4 linked regions of the Rattus norvegicus genome follow. The protein of the gene in region 2 purifies or fractionates together with the protein of the main gene of each other region. This does not show direct contact. Links are inferred from orthologs where the notes say so. Each region holds a gene or a part of one and is shown on either strand. Other genes may lie near its edges.

Region 1 (5,305 bases), on a different chromosome or scaffold from region 2:
GAATCACAATTAGCATGGATCTAGCTCAAATCTGAACGGTAGTCCCAAAATCAGAACTGTCTACTTTGACAGTACACACTGACACAGCAAAGCACAGCAGAGCACTGTAGAGTTCCAAGGACAGCTTAGTGCAACATGGCTTTTAACCGCAGGAAAATGCTACCTCTAAGGGCTTCCATGATTGGCTGCACAGTCTCTGACCACTGGTGTGCGTTGATGGTCGTATAGATCCCAGGGAAGTCTCTTTGCCAGATTCGCTGTCCTACTGACCAAATTCCCCCAAGTTCAGAATTTGCCTGCAATAAAAAGTGTTGTCTTTGAAGGTACCTGCTCTGTAATAACGAACATATCTTCAAAAATTATCAGAAGTGACAGAATTTGTTAGCTGTATCATTAAAATACACTCTATTCATTTTAGGAGATGAAATTACTTTTCTAATAGATGTATCCAGCCCGCAGGTCACAGGGCCAACAACAGGTATAAAATGTGAAACCTTTTCTTTTTGGTAGCTTGCATGCCCAGTTCTAGACTATGAACTCTGCAAATAACATCATTTTGCAATGTCCAAAGGTTGGATCTGCCTGATTCTAAAATGCTGTGAGCAGTTATGTCAACAATTTCTATAATTAATGTTTTTATTGCAACAACATGAGAAAGTAAAAAAAAAAAATTTCAGAATGAAGTCTGGGGATCAATTATCATAACTAAGCACTGCTGCTTAAATTTAAGATGCTAGCACTTCTTCATGGGACAAAACTACCACCAGAAAGCTGATTAACAAGGCCCTGTCAATTAGAGCCTACTTGCAGAGTTCCCATTCATAACAGCTCATCTGTTTCATTCTTATAAAGAGAATGGGAAAGGAAGTGAAGTAAGTCTTACTTCATTCTACCTGGCAAGACACCTTTCTCAGGTCATTTCATTTCATCTCCATCCCAAGTAAGAAAACCAACTAACAGAGTGAGTGTGATCTTAATACAGTGACTATCCATGTAAATAATGCCAGTTTACAAATAGACATCATTACAGCAAATTAAGTAGTCTGCTGAAATTCCTCAGCCCTTCAGCCACCTCCTAGACCTCACTGGCCAGTGTGAACAGACCGGTCCACACGGCAGGCCTCATAAAACCATCATTACATAAACAAGATTTCTGAACCTCCCCGTTAGAGACCTGCTGGTCTGAACCTCCCCATTAGAGAGACCAGATGGTTTGAACCTCCCCGTTAGAGAACCTGCTGGTCTGGAACCTTAATATTCACTCAACAGTGGCTTCAGTGATATACATGAGAAAGAAAAGAGGAACTGGATGCTGTCATTTAAGTAAATGCTAGTATTCTAAAAGCAACAGGGGACACTGCAGGAGTACTTACAGACTTTATAGCAGGTGGTATCCTCTTCCAAAGATATCTTGCATTATTCCTAATGTACACAAAGATCAGTTTAAGCAAGTCATCTCAGTCAATATACAGAACGATAGGACCTAATGTAAACGCACAATAGAACACCTACCAAAAGAGGCCACGGCACAACTCAGTTCTATATGAATTTGTTGAGGAAAAGCGGTTTTCCAGAAAAAAGGACATGAAATAACTTTTATTCAGGGTAATTTTTTTCATTTTTTTTGCTGAATTTTTAAAAATTAACAATTCAGATCCTAAACTACAGCAACAGATTTAAACCACGGACTTAGATACAAATGTGTCCATTTAAAGGCTCTGAGTGTCCCTCTCAATATATGTGTTATATTTTTGGAGCCATTCTCCTACTGAGTGCAAAGGGGTTGGAACAATCATAGGACACATGATCACAAAGCAGAAATAACTCATGTATGTATAATGAAGAAACTGAGCTTAGTTTCTGTAAAAAATATCACAACGGGTTGTTCGGAACCACACCAGGCCTCTATTCTCTAGCCCTCTCAAGCTTCTGCTTCCCACCCAGGAAGACTAATTCAAACATATCTAATCCTTCCTGGCTCTCCCAGTGTTCCCTGCCAGCTCCAGCTTCTTCGCTTCTACTGAGTACAAATTTGCTTTGCTTTGCTTATTTGATTTTTTGAGGCAGGATTTCTCTACGTAGTCCTGGCTGTACTAGAGCTGGATCTGCAGACCAGACCGACCTCCAACTCAGAGAGCAGCCTGCCTCGGGCTCCCAAGTGTGGGGAATTAAAGACATGCACGACCACCACACAGTCTCTGAGTAAACATAAGTTAAAAAATAAACACCATTGTTTTTATGTTCCATTGGTTCGTGATGCTAGATTCTCAAAAAAACTTACCATGTTTTTTAGGGGTATATAAAACACACACAACAACAACAAAGAAAAATCTAGCTTAATTATTCATGTGACTGAACAAGAAACAGATACAACATATTATGGTAAAGGTAACCTATCTGTTACTGCATTATCAGTGCAAAAGGCACTACTTACATGTCGTTCTGCAGCAAATACAAAGCGAGAAGCTGACCATACACTGGCGGCGTGGCGATTCCTCCAGGAGCCTACATAAACAAAGGGGGGGGGGGTGGGCACCTTATTTCCCAAAAACGTTCAGAAAAAAGAAAATTAAAACTTAAAAAGTAAGTTTTCTAGTACTACAGATGCAGACAAATGCTGAGGGAAGTACCACAGATGAAAATCTGAGCTTAGATGTTGTGAGCTGTTATTGATCCCCAGTGAGCTATCAGTTTCTTTCCATATTCACAAATATGTAATGCCATCACCTGCTGAAATTCCTCAGCCCCTCAGCCGCCTCCAGCACCTAACTGTCCAGCTGGGAACAGGCCAGTCCACACCAGCACGGCAAGCCTCATAAAACCATCATTACATGCACAAGATTTCTGAACCACCCCGTTATTGAACTAATTAGTCTCAAATTTAAAAAAAAGTAAGAAATACTTCCAACAGGTTCTTAATGCACTATTTCTCTGCCCGTTATTTTAAAAGGTTAAGTAAGATTAAAACAGAAGACTACCAACGGGTAGTTATGGAGGTCTCTGCTCAATCTTTATTCGTTCAACATGGTCTGCGGTCTGCTAAATGCTCATCGACAAGCTGCTGCTGTCCCCTTCAGTCGGTGAGCCCCCTGCTCTCCCTTTTATTTTTTGTTTTGATTTTTCGTAGCCCAAGCAGGCATCGAATTTACCAGCAATCCTCCTGCCTCCGCCTCACGTGTGCCCACGGGATTCCTGTGACACTGCACCCAGCTTATTTAGTGAACTTTTTATCTTAACATTATAAATGGAAGTGTCTCCTGATTATAGCCAGAAACTGGGGCTTGATGAACCCGGACTGTGCTCCTAGCAGGCCGCGGCCTGGCCCGTTACCCTGGAAACGGGCGCCCACCCGACCGCCGCACTTTGCCGCACTACCTCAAGCTCCTGGTTCTCGCACTGATCCAACAGCTTTCTGAAACTGAAGGCGTTGTCCGCCATCACCGCCACTGGCATCTTCCCGGCCGCTCTCGCCGCCGCCACCCCGCCTGACCAAAGCACAAGCTGGCCCTCGGGGCGTCGCGCCCTCGATGACGTAAGAAGCTGGCTCTCCGTACGCATGCGCAAATGTGTCGTCATTTCCTAAGCGACGCCGTGGCTGAGAAGCAGGGCAGCGAGCGCTCTGCCCCGCCACCTCGGTGCTCTGGAGGACCTGCTCCAGACTTGGAGGAACCGGCTTTCTAAGACAGGCCACTGTCACTGGGAGGGGCTTGGCTGCGGCTTGGATTCTCCGCCCAAGGAAGGAAGTGATAGTGGGACTGCATCTTTCACAGCCACAGTCGCCGTGGGAGAAAAGTAAAACCATTGGACCTCCACGTGTTTTGAGAACGCTGAACTGTACTTCTAAGCTAAGGTGTTAAAGAGGAAACTCTAAACCCGAAACTCTTCTTGGCTTGTGCTATACACACATCCCTTTTCTAACAATGCACTTGGCAGCCTGAGGATCTCACCTACACCTACTATTCACACACACACACACACACACACACACACACACACACACACACACACACACACACACCTCCTTTTCCGAACAACTAACACACACACACACCTCCTTTTCCGAAAATTCACCTAGCAACTGTCAGAAAACCAGGACCCCTGTCCACAACCTGTGTGGAGCTTGCAGGCACATCCTCTCCAAGTAATGGGATAAGTTTCTCCTCTCTCTACTGACCTTCAAACAGATTCTATTCACTGATACTTCAGTTATGTACAGTATGAGGGCAGGAGGTCTGATCTAACCTGAATTGGTTTTAGGTGACTGCCCAGGAAGGTAAATCATGTCTTCTAAGTGAATTTGCTAGGAGAAACTCCTATTTACCGTCTTGATTGTGCATGCTTGGGAATGCATTTGATTAAAATCAAATACATTATGGGAAGAGATATATACAATGGAAAAAGGGAGGTAACATAGCTAAAATCTTGCAATCATAACAGAGTGCAATGCCTCTTAGCAATCAGACTCCTTCTTGAACTCCATAAAAGCCCCGAACAGTAATTGGGACTCTAGTATGCTAGCTCAAGTGGCCAACTGTCACTCATGACAACGTATTTCTTTCTAATCTGTAGTATGGCTTTGCTTTTGCATAAGGTTTCCTTGCTACTTTGCATATCTGGGTGCCTGAATTTCAGTTCCGGGCATGAGAGGTAAAAACACCTAGCCCATACCCTGACCATTCCTCAGACATGGGAAGCGGATACCAACCAATGGTACGGATACCAACAACTGCCCCTTTGCTGTCTTCTTGGGCAGAACTGGAGATTGGAACACAGGCTTTGTGCATAGTTTTAACACTGAGCTGTACCTCCAGGTCTCCTTTTACTTACTGAAGACAAAGTCTTACTAAGTTGCGCAGGCTGGCCTTGAAGTTTTGGAAAAGCTCCAAGCCTAACTCTCACTTCTCTCTTTCTACCTGCCTCAGTCTCAGTAGACCCCAGCACCATGTTACCACCTGTGTATGTCTCATGCACACACACACATACACACTAGAGGTGAGTGAAGTCTCTCTAGCTTGAGCCACTGGTGTGCCTGACCTTTCCTGGTCTCCTGATAAGCAAGTGCTCCTTGACTCTTCCCTGTCCGATGTCTTTTCTTTGAAGCCCAAACCATACCTTTTTGTTTTTCTGCTCAAATTCATGTGAACAAAAGTTCCCATAAAGAAGCTACCCCTTACTAATTGACAGACTGGTAAAGTTTCCCAGGTTGGGAAGAGGTTGCAAGGTTGCAGGTTCAGAGTACAATTGTGCTTTATCCTGGCCTATCTTCAGTTCCCTTGACAGCTAGTCCTATGCCTACTTGTGCCTA
Region 2 (5,313 bases):
ACACGTGCAGGCCAGAAGAGGGCATCAGATCTCATTATAGATGTTCGTGAGCCACCATGTGGTAGTTAGGAATTGAACTCAGAACCTCTGGAAGAGCAGCCAGTGTTCTTAGCCTCTTCTAACCTCTCTCTCTCCACCACTCTCAACCTGGAACTCACTACGAAGCCCAGATGGCCTCTGGGCCTAAGATCCTCCTGACTTAGCCTCCCGAGTGCTAGACTACAAGCATGTACTACCATGCCTCGTTTTTCCTGCAGGGAAGCAATGGAATCAGATAAGCCTGCACTTGGACCCTATGTTCCCTTGTCTCATGGGTTACTTCCAGAACTCAGGTCTTGAACTTTCAATTCCCCTGCCTTAGTCTACTGAGTAATGGGATTACAGATTATGAAACAGTAAGTCTGGCTTTACCTTAATTTGCCCCTTAAATGGTTTCTGTAAGTATTTTTGTTTTGTTTCATTTTGAGACATGGTCTCACTAAGTAGTTCTGGCTATACCATAATTCCCTATGCATAAGATGCTGGATGATTTAACTCAGAAATCCACCCAATTAAAGGTGTGTACCACCATGCAATTTAAAGTATTCTAAGACAGGGTCTCTCACACTGTAGCACAGGCTACCCTCCCAACTAATAGCAATCCTCCTGCCTCAGTCTCCTGGCTGTTGGGATTACAAATAACCAGCTGAATCCTTTAACTTTTAAATTTCCTCACCTGCCTAGGTTCTACTTACACTTTTCTCCTGTTGAGATTCAAGTATTAAAACCAGAACGATTAGGTGTAGTAATCCTTCTGGTTTTAATCGGCCAAAAGTCTGGTCACGTGGTCTGAAATTCCAACGGAAGAAAACCTCAAAAGCCTGACCAATACACTTCCCTTTCCCCTTAATCATTTGGGGGTTTGTTTTGTTTTTTCCAGACCGGTTCTCAAGTAGCCCAGACTGGCTTGGTATTTGCTATGTATTTTTTGCTTCGTTTTTTTTTTTTTTTTTTTTTTTGATTCTTTTTTTTCCGGAGCTGGGAACTGAACCCAGGCCCTTGCGCTTCCTAGGCAAGCGCTCTACCACTGAGCTAAATCCCCAACCCCCTGGGGCTGGTTTTGAACTCCCGATCCTACCTCTATTTCCAAAACACAGGGAAGCGGTGTGGGTCACCACTCCCTGCCCCCTTGCATTTTAAACTTTTATTCTGCTCTTTAAAAAACATGAGTGGTTGAACTACCTAAATTATCTACCGTTGAATTCTAGCCACGTTTGTCTACTTTTTATTCTGCTCTTTGAAAAACATGAGTGGTTGAACTACCTAAATTATCTACCGTTGAAACTCTAGCCATGTTTGTCTCCTATTTTTAGTTTCTGCATCTTCTCGTCTTCCACTAACGCTCATGCGGCCGGAGGAACTTGGCGCTGCCCTCCTCCCCTCTCCTGCAGCTACCGGGCGGTTCATCTACCCAGGACCTCCACGGAGCCAGGATTTTCTCTACACCCGGCATCCACCGCTCCCGCACCAATAAAGCTTTATCGACAGAGCGGAAGCTAGGTGTCGCTCTCTCACCTCCTTCGGTCGGGAAACGGAAGCAGGCCATAGCCGGCCGGAACCCGCCTCTCGAGAGCGGAAGTGCGGCCGGAAACTGGCCATAGAAGCGCGTGGCTAGAGCGACCCTGCGGGGAGGTGGCAGGAAAGGCTGGGAGCCGCTGCCGGAGGTGACGGAGCGGCCGCCCCGCCCCGCGCGCTGGAAGACGAGGCTTCCAGGTAGCGGTCGGTCGCAGTCTGTCCCAGGGTACGACCCGGCCTTGGGCACAGATTCGCGGACCCGGGGCTGCCTCTTTAAGGGAGGGGGTGGAGCCACGAGTGAGGATCGAAAAGGTGAGGTCACGTGGTTGAGGACACGTGCAAGACACGAGTTTAGAGCTGGGAGTTCGTCGTCGTTGGGGTAGACACCATGTGCCACCTCTTCCCTCCCTTCCTCATCTGTCCTGGAACTCAATGGGATGCACGTGGTGGGGCTTGGGACTGCCCCGATGGAGGAGAGGGTGGGCGTGGCAGCCAGGATGTGGCCGACTTTAAGGAACCCTAGAGTTGGCTTTTAGACTTCTTGACCTAATTGCACACTGCAGAAGTGACGTGGTACCTCTTGAGTGCAGTTCCCCACCCTTGAGCTGACCACCCTCACGTGGTTCAGGGACCTTTAGTTTTACGTTCCTCTTTCCTTGCAGCTCCAGAAAACTTGAGGCCAGAGCCCCGCACCAGGGTGCAGCCATGAGTGCGGAGGTGAAGGTGACAGGGCAGAACCAGGAGCAATTTCTGCTCCTTGCCAAGTCGGCTAAGGGGGCAGCACTGGCCACACTCATCCACCAGGTGCTGGAGGCCCCTGGTGTCTACGTGTTTGGGGAACTGCTGGATATGCCTAATGTTAGAGAGGTGTGTTGCTTGCCTGGGTAATTCAAAAAGAACCTCGGGACCAAAGTTTCCTTGAGAATGGTGGGCTCATTTTGTAACCAATAGCCACTCAGGTGAACAGGGTATTGATAATTAGATGTCAGCTTGGAAAAGTAAGCAGTCAAAAAAAGGTCTTCATTTCCTGTATCTCTTACAGAAAAGGGGTCTGTAAACTTACTGCTCCCTTCCTCTGTACCCACAATTTCAGTCAGGGTTTCACTGCGTAGTCCTGGCTGCACTAAACTGGTAATCGTCATCTGGGCTGGCCTTGAATGCTTGAGAATCTTCTTGACTATGCCTCATGCAGAAGTTAAAAAAAAAATTTTTTTTTTATTTAAAAATGTGGAACGCTTTATAAATTTGAGGTCATCTTTGCCCAGGGACCATGCTAATCTTCTCTGGATCGTTCTAGTTTTAGTATATGTGCTGCTGAAGGAAACACAGATTTTAAATTTTTAAACAAAAGAACATGTCATACACAATACCACTCATAAATGCCAGCTCGTCCACCAGTATGATATCTTTACTGTTGTTATTGATGTTGTTGTTTTTCGAGACAGGGTTTCTCTGTGTACTATAACTTGTGTTCTGGAACTCTCTGTGTGTTCAACTCAGAGATCCACCTCCGGAGTGCTGGGATTGAAGATTTGTGCCTATTGATACCTCTTAATAATCCTGTCACCATCATTTGGGAGGTAGAAACAGGTGGATCTCTGAGTTAGAGGCCAGCTTGGTCTACAGACTTGAGTTCCAGGACAGCCCCTGTTACACAGAGAAACCGTGTCTTAAAAACAAAACAACAAATCTTGTCACCTGGATCAGAAAAACCTAATTAAGTCTCAGTTTTCCCTTAAAAAATGGTGATGAGAACCTTGAAACAGCTGATAGAGTGGTTGCCTAGCATTTGTGAGGCCTTGGCTTCCATTTCAGAACTTGGGATGCTAAGGTAGGGCACCACAAATTTTAGACCAGCCTCTGCAACTTAGACCCCATCTCAAAAAAGGAGTAGGGATGTACTCAGTGAAAGAGCCCTTGTTTGTCGTATGCATGGCTCAGTATAGGTACAGTTCTCACAACTCCAATGAGGGAAAAACCGAAAAAAACACTACCTGGGCTGGAGAGATGGCTCAGCGGTTAAGAGCACTGACTGCTCTTCCAGAGGTCCTGAGTTCAATTTCCATCAACCACAAGGTGGCTCACAACCATCTGTAATGGGGTCTGATGCCCTCTTCTGGTGTGTCTGAAGACAGCTACAGTGTATACATATACATAAAGTAAATGATAATAAGAAAAAAAGCACTTCCCTTCACAGTTACAGTAGTAACTGTGGGAAAGTCTGGAGTCTCCTAAAATCAGAGAGAATGGGCATTTGAGTTATGCCATGGTAAATCCCACCCCCACCCCTACCCCACCCCCAGGTAGATGGTGAAGATGCTGTCTTCCCTAAGACAGTGGCAAACTGCTATGAACACAGTGACGAGAACATTCAGGGAAATGGCTGAGTCAAGAACGTTAAAAGTGGGGTTGGGAATTTAGCTCAGTGGTAGAGCGCTTGCCTAGGAAGCGCAAGGCCCTGGGTTCGGTCCCCAGCTCCGGAAAAAAAAAAAAAAAGAAAAAAAAAAAGAAAAAAAGAACGTTAAAAGTATAGAGCAGATGGATGGCCAATCCTGGGACACCAGCCTGTCATGAGAGTGACAGTAGTGTGTGGCTAGACTGAGCCAGGCATTAGAAGACCCGTGGTGGAATCAGAGGATAGAATGTTTTTTGGGACTGCTGTTTCACAAGAAACTGGCTTTTGTCCCTGATTTTCTCTACAGTGAACTAAAGTATGTCCTTAAGATGAGGTAGAAGGAGCATTTCCAGCTTGTGTTCCAGTGAAAGAGATCGGATAAATGGATAAAACAATACAAGTCAGCAATTTATCAGTAACTTACTTCGAAGGCCACAGCTCTGGGTCCTTGGAGGCTAGCAGATGCTGGGTCTATAGCCTTGTTAAAACATTGTTGGGGCTGGGGATTTAGCTCAGTGGTAGAGCGCTTACCTAGGAAGCGCAAGGCCCTGGGTTCGGTCCCCAGCTCCGAAAAAAAGAACCAAAAAAAAAAAAAAAAAAAAAAAAAAAAAAACATTGTTAGGTGAGAACCAGCAGAGTGACATGCCAGGATAAGTGGCAGTGACAGGAGGGAAGGTGCTGTGGATGACGTAAGACCTCGCTATGAGGACATTCTGAAGCCATGGCCACAAACCCTCTGGGGGGCGGGGGGGCACATAATTTACAGTGTCTGGTGTGTATGTGTGTGCACACGCACCTGTGCTACTCTGAACACTGAAAGTTTTCAGCCCTGACTGAGAATAGGAATCGGATGCGTAGCACAGCAAAGGGTTAGTAGCAGAAATGAGCCCCTGACAGACCAGGATAGGGACTGTTGGGAAGGATGGGGTGAGAAAGCAAGGTCAGAACAGGGCCTCCTTGTCACTGCCTCCCTTGTGTTCTTGCAGCTGGCAGACAGCGACTTTGCCTCCACGTTCCGGCTGCTCACAGTGTTTGCCTATGGGACCTATGCTGACTACTTAGGTAAATAGGGCCAGAGCTGTGGAAACAGGAGAAGGGTGGTTTCTGGAGAGACTTAGAAGAAATTCCTGGCTTGCCCTTCTTCGATGTCATAAGTGAACCTGGGCAGGTTAGACCATAATTGGTGCAGAAAACTTGCAGGAAATGGCTAAAAACAAGATCCCCTGGCTTCTGTCCCTGTCTAGCTGAAGCCAGGAACCTCCCCCCACTTACTGAGGCTCAGAAGAACAAGCTTCGACATCTGTCAGTTGTCACTCTGGCTGCCAAAGTCAAGGTAAGTGACAGTCCTGCCAGTCCAAAGCCAG
Region 3 (5,212 bases), on a different chromosome or scaffold from region 2:
GGGAGAGGGAGGAAGATCTCTGAGTTCTAAGGTCAGCCCGGTCTACATACACAGAGAAACCCTGTCTTAAAAAACAAAAACGATTTTTTTCGTTTAAAATTAGTTTTTAGAATGGTGGCAAGGGTGGTGGTGGTGGTGGTGGTGGTGATCTACGACAACATGTGTATGGAGGTCAGAGAACAACTTTGGGAATCCATTCTTTACTGGCATGTGGGGTCAGGTGATCAATTGCAAGTCACAGGGCTTAGAGCAGTTGCCTTTACCAACTGAAACATGTCCTAGGCCCCACTGGAATCCTTTATGAGGTTGGTCATTTGTTAAGTAATGGTCCATTATATTATATTGTTTACTGCAGTGCTGAGGGTCAGACAAGAACCTCGCACATGCTAAGCCTTTATGTAATTTATTTTGGAGAAAATATTTGTAAATTCCAAAATTATAGTAGCGTTAGTTTGTTTATTTCTCTTTTCTTTTGTTTTCTTTTTTCTTTTGGATTTTTGAGACAGATCCACATTAAAGGCATGTACCACCGTCGCCACCAGGATCTTACTTTTTGACATGTTTTGTATAGCTCTCTAGCTTGGAACCCACTGAACTCGCTGATCATGCTGCTGCTGACCATTTCCAAGTATTTGGAAAATAGCTATATGCCACCAGATCTGCCAAATTTTCCCAGAAAATTTGGTAGATTTCATCACCTCTGGAAATAGGATTTTATTTTGAGAGGATTTTATTTTGAGACAGGGAATCACCGTAGAGGAGGAGGTGCTGGACTTCTATCCTAAGGTCTTGACCTTGTAAATATTGGGATTACAAGGTTAAAGCCACATACCGGGCAAGAAGATAGGGTTTTAAGTGGACTTTAAAGGATTGGCACTAATTGAACGAAGCCTAAGAGGTAAAACTGATGTCTTCTCTATTGGAAAAGTAATTAAATAACAAAGGCGTGTGTTTGTTTGCTTGCTTGCCTTTCTCTTGTGTTTCTGCATGTAGCAGTGATATGTAACTGCCACCTGCTTTTGTCAACACTGTCCTTGGGGGTGGGGAGGGCCTACCTATTATTGTTGTCAAGAGATGTTTAGGTCTTTGAATTTGACTGAATGCAAAAATAGGAGGCAGGCTTGGTGGCTTACTGAGTAGGCTGAGGCAGGAGGATTGCTAGTTCAGTACCAGCCCGGGCTATAAAAAGTCAGGCTTTCAAGAGTCGCCTAAGCTAGACACACTGTCTCAAAATTACAAATCACAAAATCACATACAAATAAAGCAGAGACTCCACCCTCCAGTGTGATTTCGATAGAAATCGTTTCCAAATTTGGGTACTGCACCCCTTTGAGCTCAGGGAACTGCGATTGCCTCATTGACAAGTATGCTGGAAGATGAAATACTTTGTCAATTGATTGCAAGAGCTTCGCGATTCAGGAAGGCTGGCTCCCTGCGCTTGCCGTAACCTGGACTGGACCATTGCATCCTGCGGGTGTGTGAGTGCAAGAGGCTGAAAGAGCGGAGCGGAGGGCGTGTGTCGGGCAAAGCCCGGAGCCCCGGAGGACGACTGCCTCCTGGAGCCCGCCACCAGCCCGCCCTCCTCCCTTGACCTCGTCGCGCCTCGCCGCAGCGGCCTTGTCTGCAAGGCTCCCTCGGGAGCAGGTGAGTGGCGGCGCCTTGCTCCGGGCACCCCCGTGGCCCTGGGGCGGTGGCGGTGGCCGGCCGGGGAGGCGGCCTCGGCGCACAGTAATGGCAGCGCTGTGAGCCGGGGAACGCGAGCTGACAGCCGCCGCCGCCCACCCTCGGAGCCGGGGGCTTCGTCCTTCACGCCTGCGGGTTGCCTCCCTCCCCGGGCTCCTGCCCTCGCCCTGCTTTTGCAGAAGGTAAACCGGTTGAAAGCTGGGAGCTGGGCTGCGGATGCAGGGAAACTTCCCTTCCCGGCGAATGGGTGGCGGGGATGGGGCGACCTGGCGGAGGGGAGCGGGCTGAGAGCCGGAGGCCCGGCAAGATGGTGTCCTGTGAGTGACCTCGGCTCCCCAGACTGCTGACCCTTAAGCCAAGCTGACCCTGGACCAGATCCGGGGCCTCCCCGACCCATTGCCGGCCGCCCCTCCCTCGGCCTCATTTTCCTCCTAAGGAGGGAAGGTGAGAGTGTGCTTTCCTGATTACATTTACATGCTCACACGGAGACCAAAGTCTCTGTAGAAGGGGGTAGCATCAATCTCATACATCCTAGCCACGAGTATTTTCACTTTTGTTTCCGCAGACAGTGAAGATTGATAGCTTTGGGGAGGAGTATTCTACGTGCATGCTACACCTCTTGCCTCAACACTTATGGGCTGGTGAAATAAGAGCCTTAGATTCTCTCCAGCATTTGTTTACATACTAGACTCTTAAACCCTTCCTTACCATTACCGTGAGTGCATGTAGAACATCTTTTGAATTTGCATTGTTATTATAAGTTATTCCCGTCCTCCTTGGTTACTATTATTGGCAGATGGCAGTAGCCTCTAAGTTTCAATTTGCAGATAAGACACAAACTACTGAGTTGCAGATGTAGCTCAGTGCTACAACACTTAGACTAGCATGCAAGGAGCCCTGGGTTCAACCCCATCGCCTTCTCAAAAAAAAAAAAAAAAAAAAAAGGTGTGTGTGTGTGTGTGTCTGTGCCTGTGTGTGTCTGTGTGTGTATTCCTTATTGAGTTTTCAATAGAAAATATTCTTGCCCTAGAACTTACCCCAAACCCATATTTATAACACAATATGGGAGATCACTTTATTTCTCTTATCCCATGTGTCATTCCAAGACACAAAAGTGATCTAACTAGCTTAACTTTGACTCTTTTGCCCATATACAGTATTTGGACGTACCTTCCCAGAGAGTTGCAAATGAATTAACAGTGGGGTACAGTTTTTAGTTATTATCCCTCTCTTGCTATTTGTGACTTGTGGGAAGGTGTGGTAATTTTTTTGGGGGGTGGTGATTTTTCTTCAGACAGGGTCTTTATTATGTAGCCCTGGCTGTATGGGATTCACCATGTACACCAGGGTGGCCTCAAACTCCCAAGAGCTCCATCTGCCTCTGCCTCCCTAGTGCTGGGATTAAAAGCATGTGGCATCACTCCCAACTCTCTTGTTGTGCTGTATAGCCTTAGTTGGTGTAGTACTCACTGTGTAGCCCCCTAACCTCACATTCTTGGGAGTCCCACCTCAGTAGGTGCGGGGGTTACAAGTGGGTGCCACCAGGCCCCGCTTTCGTTAATTTTCTGTATTTATATTGTTTGTTAGTGTCTTTTAGCTTTTCATCATATATAATTGAGCACCGAATGTGAAATCTCTGCTTTCTTTTCTTTTCCTTCCTAACTTCTTTCCTTTTTGTGGTTTTGGTTTTCAAGACGGGGCTTCTCTGTATAACAACCCTGGCTGTCCTGGAACTCACTCTGTAGACTAGACTATCCTGGAATTCAAGAGATAGATCAGTGGCCAGCACTGTCTGTCTAAATGTCTGCTTTCTTAAAGCTTCCTTCTGGCTGAGATGGAGAGACATAGATTAGAAACACTCTGAAGGAAATAAGGAATTCTAATGATTGGTTAAAAAAAAAAAATCGTTTCGGATACTGTGGTTTAAAAAGGCTTCGCTTAGGTGACCTTTGACATATTTGAAAAGGCCAGAAAGCACAGGTCTGTGGAAGTTCTGAAGAAACTCTGGAGGAAATGCAAACAAAAAGCTCCAGGGAGAGAGAGAGTCCAGCTCACCAGGAGCAGCTCAGCAAGAGAAAGCCCTGTGAGGGAGGCTGAGGCTTAGGTTTAAAGCTCTAGCTCAATTGGGCCAGAATTTAGTTTCTTAGAAACATTTCAAGTTTTAGATCTTGAGAAGTAGATAGTAACAGTCTGGTGTACGTTCTGCTGATGTCAGAAGACACCGCCCCTGGGGTCACCGCCTTGGAACCTTAAAGGACAAGTAGCAAGGTTTCCAGATGTGTTGAAGGTACTTGTTGAACATGATAAAGTGGAATTGTTCGAGGTGGGCATCTCTTGGGTTTTGGGGTTCAACGGGAGGGTGACAGTACATACAGAGTTGAGGATAGAGTTGGACTAGGTGTCTTGAGTTGATTCAGTCCAAGCGCAACATTTAGTACCAAGGTGGAGGAGTCATTCAGTTTGCTCCTTAATTTGAAGTGGGTTTCACACAGCAGCAGCAGCAGCAGCAGCAGCTCTGGTCCCGACAACTGGAATAGTGAAAAGTTAGACAGATCTATGTCTTCATGAAACATGGGGAGAGAAATGTGGATCGAGGGAGTCTTATCAGTCTTGCTAACTGGTGGACCATTTCCAAAGGTTTGTTTTTGTGCCTTTAACTGGGTCTGAAAAACGGTAGCACACCTTACGAGTGGACACTCTGATAGTATAGTAAATGTTACAAACAGGGATAAGGACACCTAAAGAAAAACAGGGAGATGGAGAAGCCTACAGGGAAGAGCAAAGCTTCTGATCTGATCTTTGCCCTCTTCGACTGTGTGCTTAGTTAACCCAGGCCTGTTACATGTGCTGTGTAGCTCAGGCTAGCCTTTTCTCTTACACCCTATCCTGAAAGTACTGGCATTATTGGTACGCATGCGTTGTGGGCTCAGATGCATGTTCTTTGAAAACTCAGCATCCTAAGTGCCACCACACATGGTTTTAGGATGAGTGGCCAGGCAGGCAGTCTTACCAACTAAGCTTCATCCCACAAGATGGTTCTTGACTAAAAACTAGTGCACGTGGACTTCTTTGTCTCTTTTTGTTTAAAATTCTAAAATGTGTAGACGTTAAATGTTCAGTTTGAAGGTTTCAATTAATCAAAGTCTTTTCTTTTATAGACTTAAACATTTAGTGTTAACCATCGTTAGTCATTAAATTATAGCCTCATTATAACTTGTCAGAATTTGGGCTGGAGAGATGGCTCAGTGGTTAAGAGCACTGACTGCTCTTCTAGAGGTCCTGAGTTCAAATCCCAGCAACCACATGGTGGCTCACAACCATCTGTAGTGGGATCTGATGCCCTCTTCTGGTGTGTCTGAAGACAGCTACAGTGTACTTAGATATAATCTTTAAAAGAAAAAAGTTAGAAGTTTTCATAAAAACAGATTTACAGCTTATTATTGTTTTATTTCTGTAATTTGCTATAAACTTAAGTTTAGCTACATCTCCAGCATCCTTTGGCACTCTAGAATATACTAAATGTTTAATA
Region 4 (5,289 bases), on a different chromosome or scaffold from region 2:
ATCTAGTACCTTGGCAAGCGGACATGAAGATTTGACCATCTTTGCTGTAGATGCCACAGAAAGCCTTCTGAGAGTAGGTATCAGTGAAGCTTAGATCATTGGGCAAGAAGCTAGAGAAGGGGAGAGAGAAGGAGAGGGGACCTCTGAGTGAGAAGGACTCAGCAGAACGGAATGCAGCATATCCCTTTGGCCTTGGATATAATCCCCTTGTCTGTCCTGTCAGTCTTCATACTTCTCTATTTCGTTTACTTTCACATCTTCAGCCCCTTTCAAACTAGTCTTAATATTTCTGAGAAACCTTTAACTTACACCCTTCCAAGTATAGAAGATAAGGTCTAGCTGGCCCCTAGGGTCTCTCCACAAAACCCCATACTCACTGAGACATCACTCGAGACTGTTCTCCAAGGGAGAAGCTTCCCCGGTGGCAGAGGCCCCGTTCTCTCTAAATGGAAGGGATTGGGGAATATTGCTAGCAGAACTGGAGGGCCACTGTAATCACACCCAGTCCCCTCCTCCAAGGGTATTTCTCTTGCTACAAAAAGCAAACAGCCCAGAGCACCAGGATGCAGGCTGCTAACACACTCGAGCCCCCACACGTGAGGTTTCCTTGGAGGTTTACATCCTTTTTTCAGGAGGTAGCAGAACTTCTGGCCTCAACAGGTCTGCTGCCAGGCTGACGAGAGGCAGAAAGGCCTACCTGGTGTAGCATTCGAGGGAAGCTATGCTCCTGAGCAGTCCTCCCGAGTCCTAGCCGCCCCGTGGCCAATTCCACCCGAGTTTTGATCTCATTGTACTCCAGCTCCCGGGTGTCAGGGGTTGCATCCACTGTGAGTACCAAAAAAGAAGTTTCGTTCCAGGACTTACAGCCCAGACATGAGCTAGCAAAATTGTGCCCACTCCATGTGGTTGGCTACAAGGATTCCCTCGTCCCCTGAATTCTCTTTTCATTTAACATACTAAGCTTCAGAAGACTGATTCACTTTAAAGGTAAAAAAGTCTAGTGAACATCTTCCAACATTAAGATCAGATTGTCAGTTATGCATGGCTTTCATCCCAGCACCTGGGAGGCAGAGGAAGGCAGATCTGGATTAAACTGAGAATTCTAGAACAGCCAGGGATACAGAGAGACCCAGTCTTAGAAACAAAACACAAGGGACTGGAAAGTGGTTAAGAGCACTGACTGCTCTTCCAGAGGTCCTGAGTTCAATTCCCAGCAACCACATGGTGGCTCACAACCATCTGTAAAGAGATCTGATGCCCTCTTCTGGTGTGTCTGGGAAAGCTACAGTGTATTCAATATACATAAAATAAATAATCAAAAAAAAAAAAAAAGAAAGAAAAACAAAGAAAACACAAACCCAAAAAACATTAGATGGCCTCTCCTCTTACCAGGTGGGTTGTATCGATCTCCAAGGCGACCGTCCCAGGCACTGTCATGCTCTTCCTCTGAGTCTGAGAGGGCCTGGATGAGTTGTAAATTTGCTGCACCTCCACCTTGCACCAACCTCACTTGGCCTCTGTGGAGAGATCCCCATTATAAAGGAGGGGATCCCTTCTCCCATCTAACCAATGGCTATCTGGCTGGAGTCAATGGCTGTCTAGCTCCTAGTACATTTGGTTCTCATTTTGAAGTTGGATTTTAAGTTTCCAGAAGTCATAGTAGGGCCAGGCAGTAGTGGAGCATGCCTTTAATCCCAGCATTTGGGAGGCAGAGGCAGGTGGATCTCTGTGAGTTCGAGGCAAGCCTGGTCTACAGAGTGAGGTCCAGAGCAGGCAGGGCTACAGAGAAGCTCTGCCTCAAAAATAAACAAAACAAAGCAAACACACAAAAAGACACAGTAGGGAACTAGTTTGAACTCTTGAGTAAGAGCACAGAGTTCTAACAGGCTACAAAGACTGACCTACTAACTGATTTGTCTCAGGGCTAAGGACTGAACCCAGGGGCTCAGTGCATACTGGATAAACTTCTACCACAAAGCTATACCCCAAGTTCAAGAGCTAAGAATCAGGAAAGCACTTCCATCTCTATTCCTTAGTATCCTTTCCTGTCATGATAAAATACCCCAACAAAAGCACCTTCAGTGAGAGAGGCTTATTTTGGCTCATGGCTCAAGGGCAGAGTCTATCATGGTGGGGCAGTCAAAGCAGCAGGGACAGGAACAGCTGGCTACAGAGTATTCACAACCAGGGAAGAGGACAGGATGAATGGTTGTGTTTAGCTACCTTTCTCCTTTTTATACAGTCTAGGACCCACACCCAAGCACTGGTGCCACTCATGTTCAGTGTGGGTCTTCCTAATCAACGAACCCAATCGCTATAATTCCTTCCAGACCTGCCCAGAGAGGCTAAAGAATCCATCCCTCCTAGGTGTGCTGTCCCCTAGGTGACTCCAGACCCTGTCAAGCTGACAATGACAACTCTCACAGCCGTTGCTGTAGGAATGCAGCACAGAACACAATGTCCAAGGGATACTAGGTTTATCTTTTCCCAAGGAACCACAGGCAGGCAAACAAAGCCAAATATTCAAGTCGTTCTTAGTTCCTGGTGGTCACCCCCTTCAGGGCATTCTTTTCTTAAGAGCAGGGCTAGTAAGGTCGATGTAAACTTGTTTTTCAAGTAAATCCACATGGCTTCATCTCACATAGCAAGTGATTTAACACCCCCTTCCCAACTCTTCTCACATCTCTCCTTTCCTCCATAATCCCTCTTCCATTTCTTGTTTTATTTTCTTGGAAAACAGATTAAATTTGTGTTGTCACAGCCAAAAAGACTCCCCCTGAGAGGTCCCTCAAGCCGTGCCCTAGGTAAGAACCATTTTGGGTATGGAGCTGCATAGAGAGTATGGACATCCAGCAGGGAAAGGTGGTCCTGTTCAAACACAAACGTTGTCCTGGGACAGTACCATTCCCTATCCTCTGCACTTTTCCTGCCTGAAGTTGAGGTCAAGATATTGGGATGACACTTAGTGTCACAGCAGAGGGTAAGTTACCTGCGGAGGAGATAGGCCAGTACCTGGGCCAGATCCACATCTTCATCCTCTTCTTCTTCTTCCTCACTACGACGCAGGCCAGCCCCTCTTCGGGACAAGCCCTCGGAGGGTTCTAAGGACCCGGATCCTGCGCTGCTGCTGTTCCGTGATCCCATGTTCTGGTTACAGCATCCTTATATCCTGTGCAGGGACTTCTCCTGTCTCCAAATTGGGTTTGGTGAAAGCAAATCCTGCTCTAGAAATATCAGGGTTTCCAGAAACGGGGCAGAAGCTATCTTTAGAGGGGTGACCCCTCTAGGAGACTGAGATTTCCTTCTCTTTAGCTATGACAGCTCCCAAGGTTTCGGGAACATAAACCTTCCTCAATCCTGTGAAGCAAAGAAAGCCACATGAAACCTAGGGTGCAACCCTACCGTACTAATGAGAGTCCATGAAGAGGAATTTCTCATTTTCCTAGCCAAACTCACCTATCAAAGTCCCCGGCCCAGGGTGGCCGAATCCCAGATAACCTCTCCGACTGACCAATCAAAACCCCTTGCGGAAGAACGCACTTCACTAGCTTATCTCACACAACCAACCAGAAGCGTTAGAACTCAGACCCCCGACGCCCCCTTCTGCTGACCAATCAGAGCAATTTCTTGAGAGCCGGCAGCAGCAACAGCCAATGAGGTTAGAAGTCAGCCTAACACCCCCTCCAGTTTAGCTTCACACCCACGTGGTGCGCCGGGGGTGTGTACAACAGGGGGAGGGAAAGTGGAGAAGCACCTCCCCCGGCGTCTGGCGGTTACCGCCCCACGCGAGGTCACTCACCAGCCAGGAGCCGTCGCAGGACCCGCAGGGGCGAGGCCCTGTTTACACTGCCTACCGCTGCCGCGCCGGCTAACAGCTCCTAAGTCGCGAGCCTCGTCCGTCACGCCTCTGACTGCCAGGCCTGATGACGTCACTCGACGCTCCTCGATGTTCCGCCCCCTTGGTCCGCTGATTGGACAGCTGAGACCGGTGATTGATGGGTGGGCTGGAGAAATTTCTTAACCCAAGGGGGGGCGTTAAGTCGTAGCGGACTGGAATTGGCTGCGGCCTGCATTAGAGATAGCGGAGCTAGACGTAAAGTCTGCGAGGTGGTCCCTTAAGGTCGCTTGGCCTCGAGTGTTTTTTTTTTACTGCATGCCCAGCCGCTCCTATTCCCTCAGCTCCCAGCAACCCCAGTTCAACCGTTTTTCCCTGGCTGTAGGGCCAGCGGCCTGTCGAAAGCAGTCCTCACTGGTGGAACCCAGGCCTTTCCATCCTGCTGTGTACCGGCTTACCCGCGGCGGTCTTGTTAGACGACCCCTGGCTTCCTTTCCTGGTCTTTGCAGACGCTCCCTAAATGTCGCGGCCCTCCACGGAGTCTTTCCGGTTGCGTAGTGCGCACGCGCTCCCTGGGTCTGGGCTTTGCCGACCTTCCCTAGGCTTCAATCGCGCGCCGCCTCCTGCGGGTTTATGAATAACTTGGGTGAGTCCAAGGCCGAGCCCTACCTTGTCTGGGATGGTTTCCCAGGCCAGGGAGCGTAGAGGCTGGTGACGTTGGCCTTGGCCCAGAGCAGGGCCACCGTGAGGACACCTCAGCACCCTGGACCAGCTTGTGACAGGTCCTGTAAGGTTTCCCCTGGTCTCTAGGCCGGAGACCCCAACATTTTCTCCCGGTCCACACTGACGATGGTTAAACTGCCCATTGGTTGTAAAATTCTTAACTGTAAACAAGCGCCCAGCATTTTGTTATTTGGCTGGTCTCCATTAATTATGTGGACAGGTATTTCTAACATACACCGAGCTTTCAGGATTCCTATTTATCTGGGTTATCTGGTCTGGAAAGTCTGTAATAATTTTAGAAAGTATTTTACCTTCCTTACTACTCCTCAAATTCTTATATGTTCTGTAGATATTTTTTAACTGATTACTTGAGGTTTATTTTCACAGTCGCCATTTTTCCACACTTGAGACTTTTTCCATTTGTTGATCTGCTCACGTATCCTCTTAAAAGTATTTCGTTCTTAAGAGCTGACCAGTGATTTTTTTCCGTTTTTTTTTTTTAATATATATTACTTCAAATACAGACTTCCCAACCTGATTACTAACTTCATTTAAAAATTTTATCTAGGGCTGGAGAGATGGCTCAGTGATTAAGAGCACTGATTGCTCTTGCCAAGGTCCTCTGAGTTCAATTTCTAGCAACCACATGGTGGCTCACAACCATCTGTAATGGGATCTGATGCCCTCTTCTGTTGTGTCTGAAGAAAGCCACAGTGTACTCACGTGCATAC

The links. The genes of interacting proteins can lie anywhere in the genome.
Region 1: the proteins of Cops7a (region 2) and Cops8 purify together in Homo sapiens (affinity purification with mass spectrometry; 11 studies listed by BioGRID and IntAct, counting the BioPlex papers as one, with this or other methods). This does not show direct contact. The link is inferred for Rattus norvegicus from reciprocal best matches to the Homo sapiens genes COPS7A and COPS8.
Region 3: the proteins of Cops7a (region 2) and Cul2 purify together in Homo sapiens (affinity purification with mass spectrometry; 3 studies listed by BioGRID and IntAct, with this or other methods). This does not show direct contact. The link is inferred for Rattus norvegicus from reciprocal best matches to the Homo sapiens genes COPS7A and CUL2.
Region 4: the proteins of Cops7a (region 2) and Dcaf11 purify together in Homo sapiens (affinity purification with mass spectrometry; 3 studies listed by BioGRID and IntAct, counting the BioPlex papers as one, with this or other methods). This does not show direct contact. The link is inferred for Rattus norvegicus from reciprocal best matches to the Homo sapiens genes COPS7A and DCAF11.

Annotation. Positions count from the first base shown.
Region 1 is NC_086027.1:98,653,229-98,658,533, reverse strand, and holds the start of Cops8 (COP9 signalosome complex subunit 8), read right to left. Parts: upstream 3,504-5,305; 5' UTR 3,454-3,503; coding exon 3,376-3,453; intron 2,506-3,375; coding exon 2,435-2,505; intron 1,423-2,434; coding exon 1,374-1,422; intron 297-1,373; coding exon 164-296; intron 1-163. UniProt on the Homo sapiens protein: Component of the COP9 signalosome complex (CSN), a complex involved in various cellular and developmental processes.
Region 2 is NC_086022.1:159,456,605-159,461,917, reverse strand, and holds the start of Cops7a (COP9 signalosome complex subunit 7a), read left to right. Parts: upstream 1-1,744; 5' UTR 1,745-1,866; intron 1,867-1,887; exon of another isoform or gene 1,888-1,986; coding exon of another isoform or gene 1,987-2,000; intron 2,001-2,216; coding exon of another isoform or gene 2,217-2,259; coding exon 2,260-2,421; intron 2,422-2,775; exon of another isoform or gene 2,776-2,881; intron 2,882-4,935; coding exon 4,936-5,011; intron 5,012-5,193; coding exon 5,194-5,282; intron 5,283-5,313.
Region 3 is NC_086035.1:58,901,630-58,906,841, reverse strand, and holds the start of Cul2 (cullin-2), read left to right. Parts: upstream 1-1,709; 5' UTR 1,710-1,865; intron 1,866-2,248; exon of another isoform or gene 2,249-2,398; intron 2,399-5,212.
Region 4 is NC_086033.1:33,015,869-33,021,157, reverse strand, and holds the start of Dcaf11 (DDB1- and CUL4-associated factor 11), read right to left. Parts: upstream 3,504-5,289; 5' UTR 3,457-3,503; intron 3,358-3,456; 5' UTR 3,145-3,357; coding exon 2,990-3,144; intron 1,518-2,989; coding exon 1,390-1,517; intron 826-1,389; coding exon 698-825; intron 443-697; coding exon 378-442; intron 111-377; coding exon 10-110; intron 1-9. UniProt on the Homo sapiens protein: May function as a substrate receptor for CUL4-DDB1 E3 ubiquitin-protein ligase complex.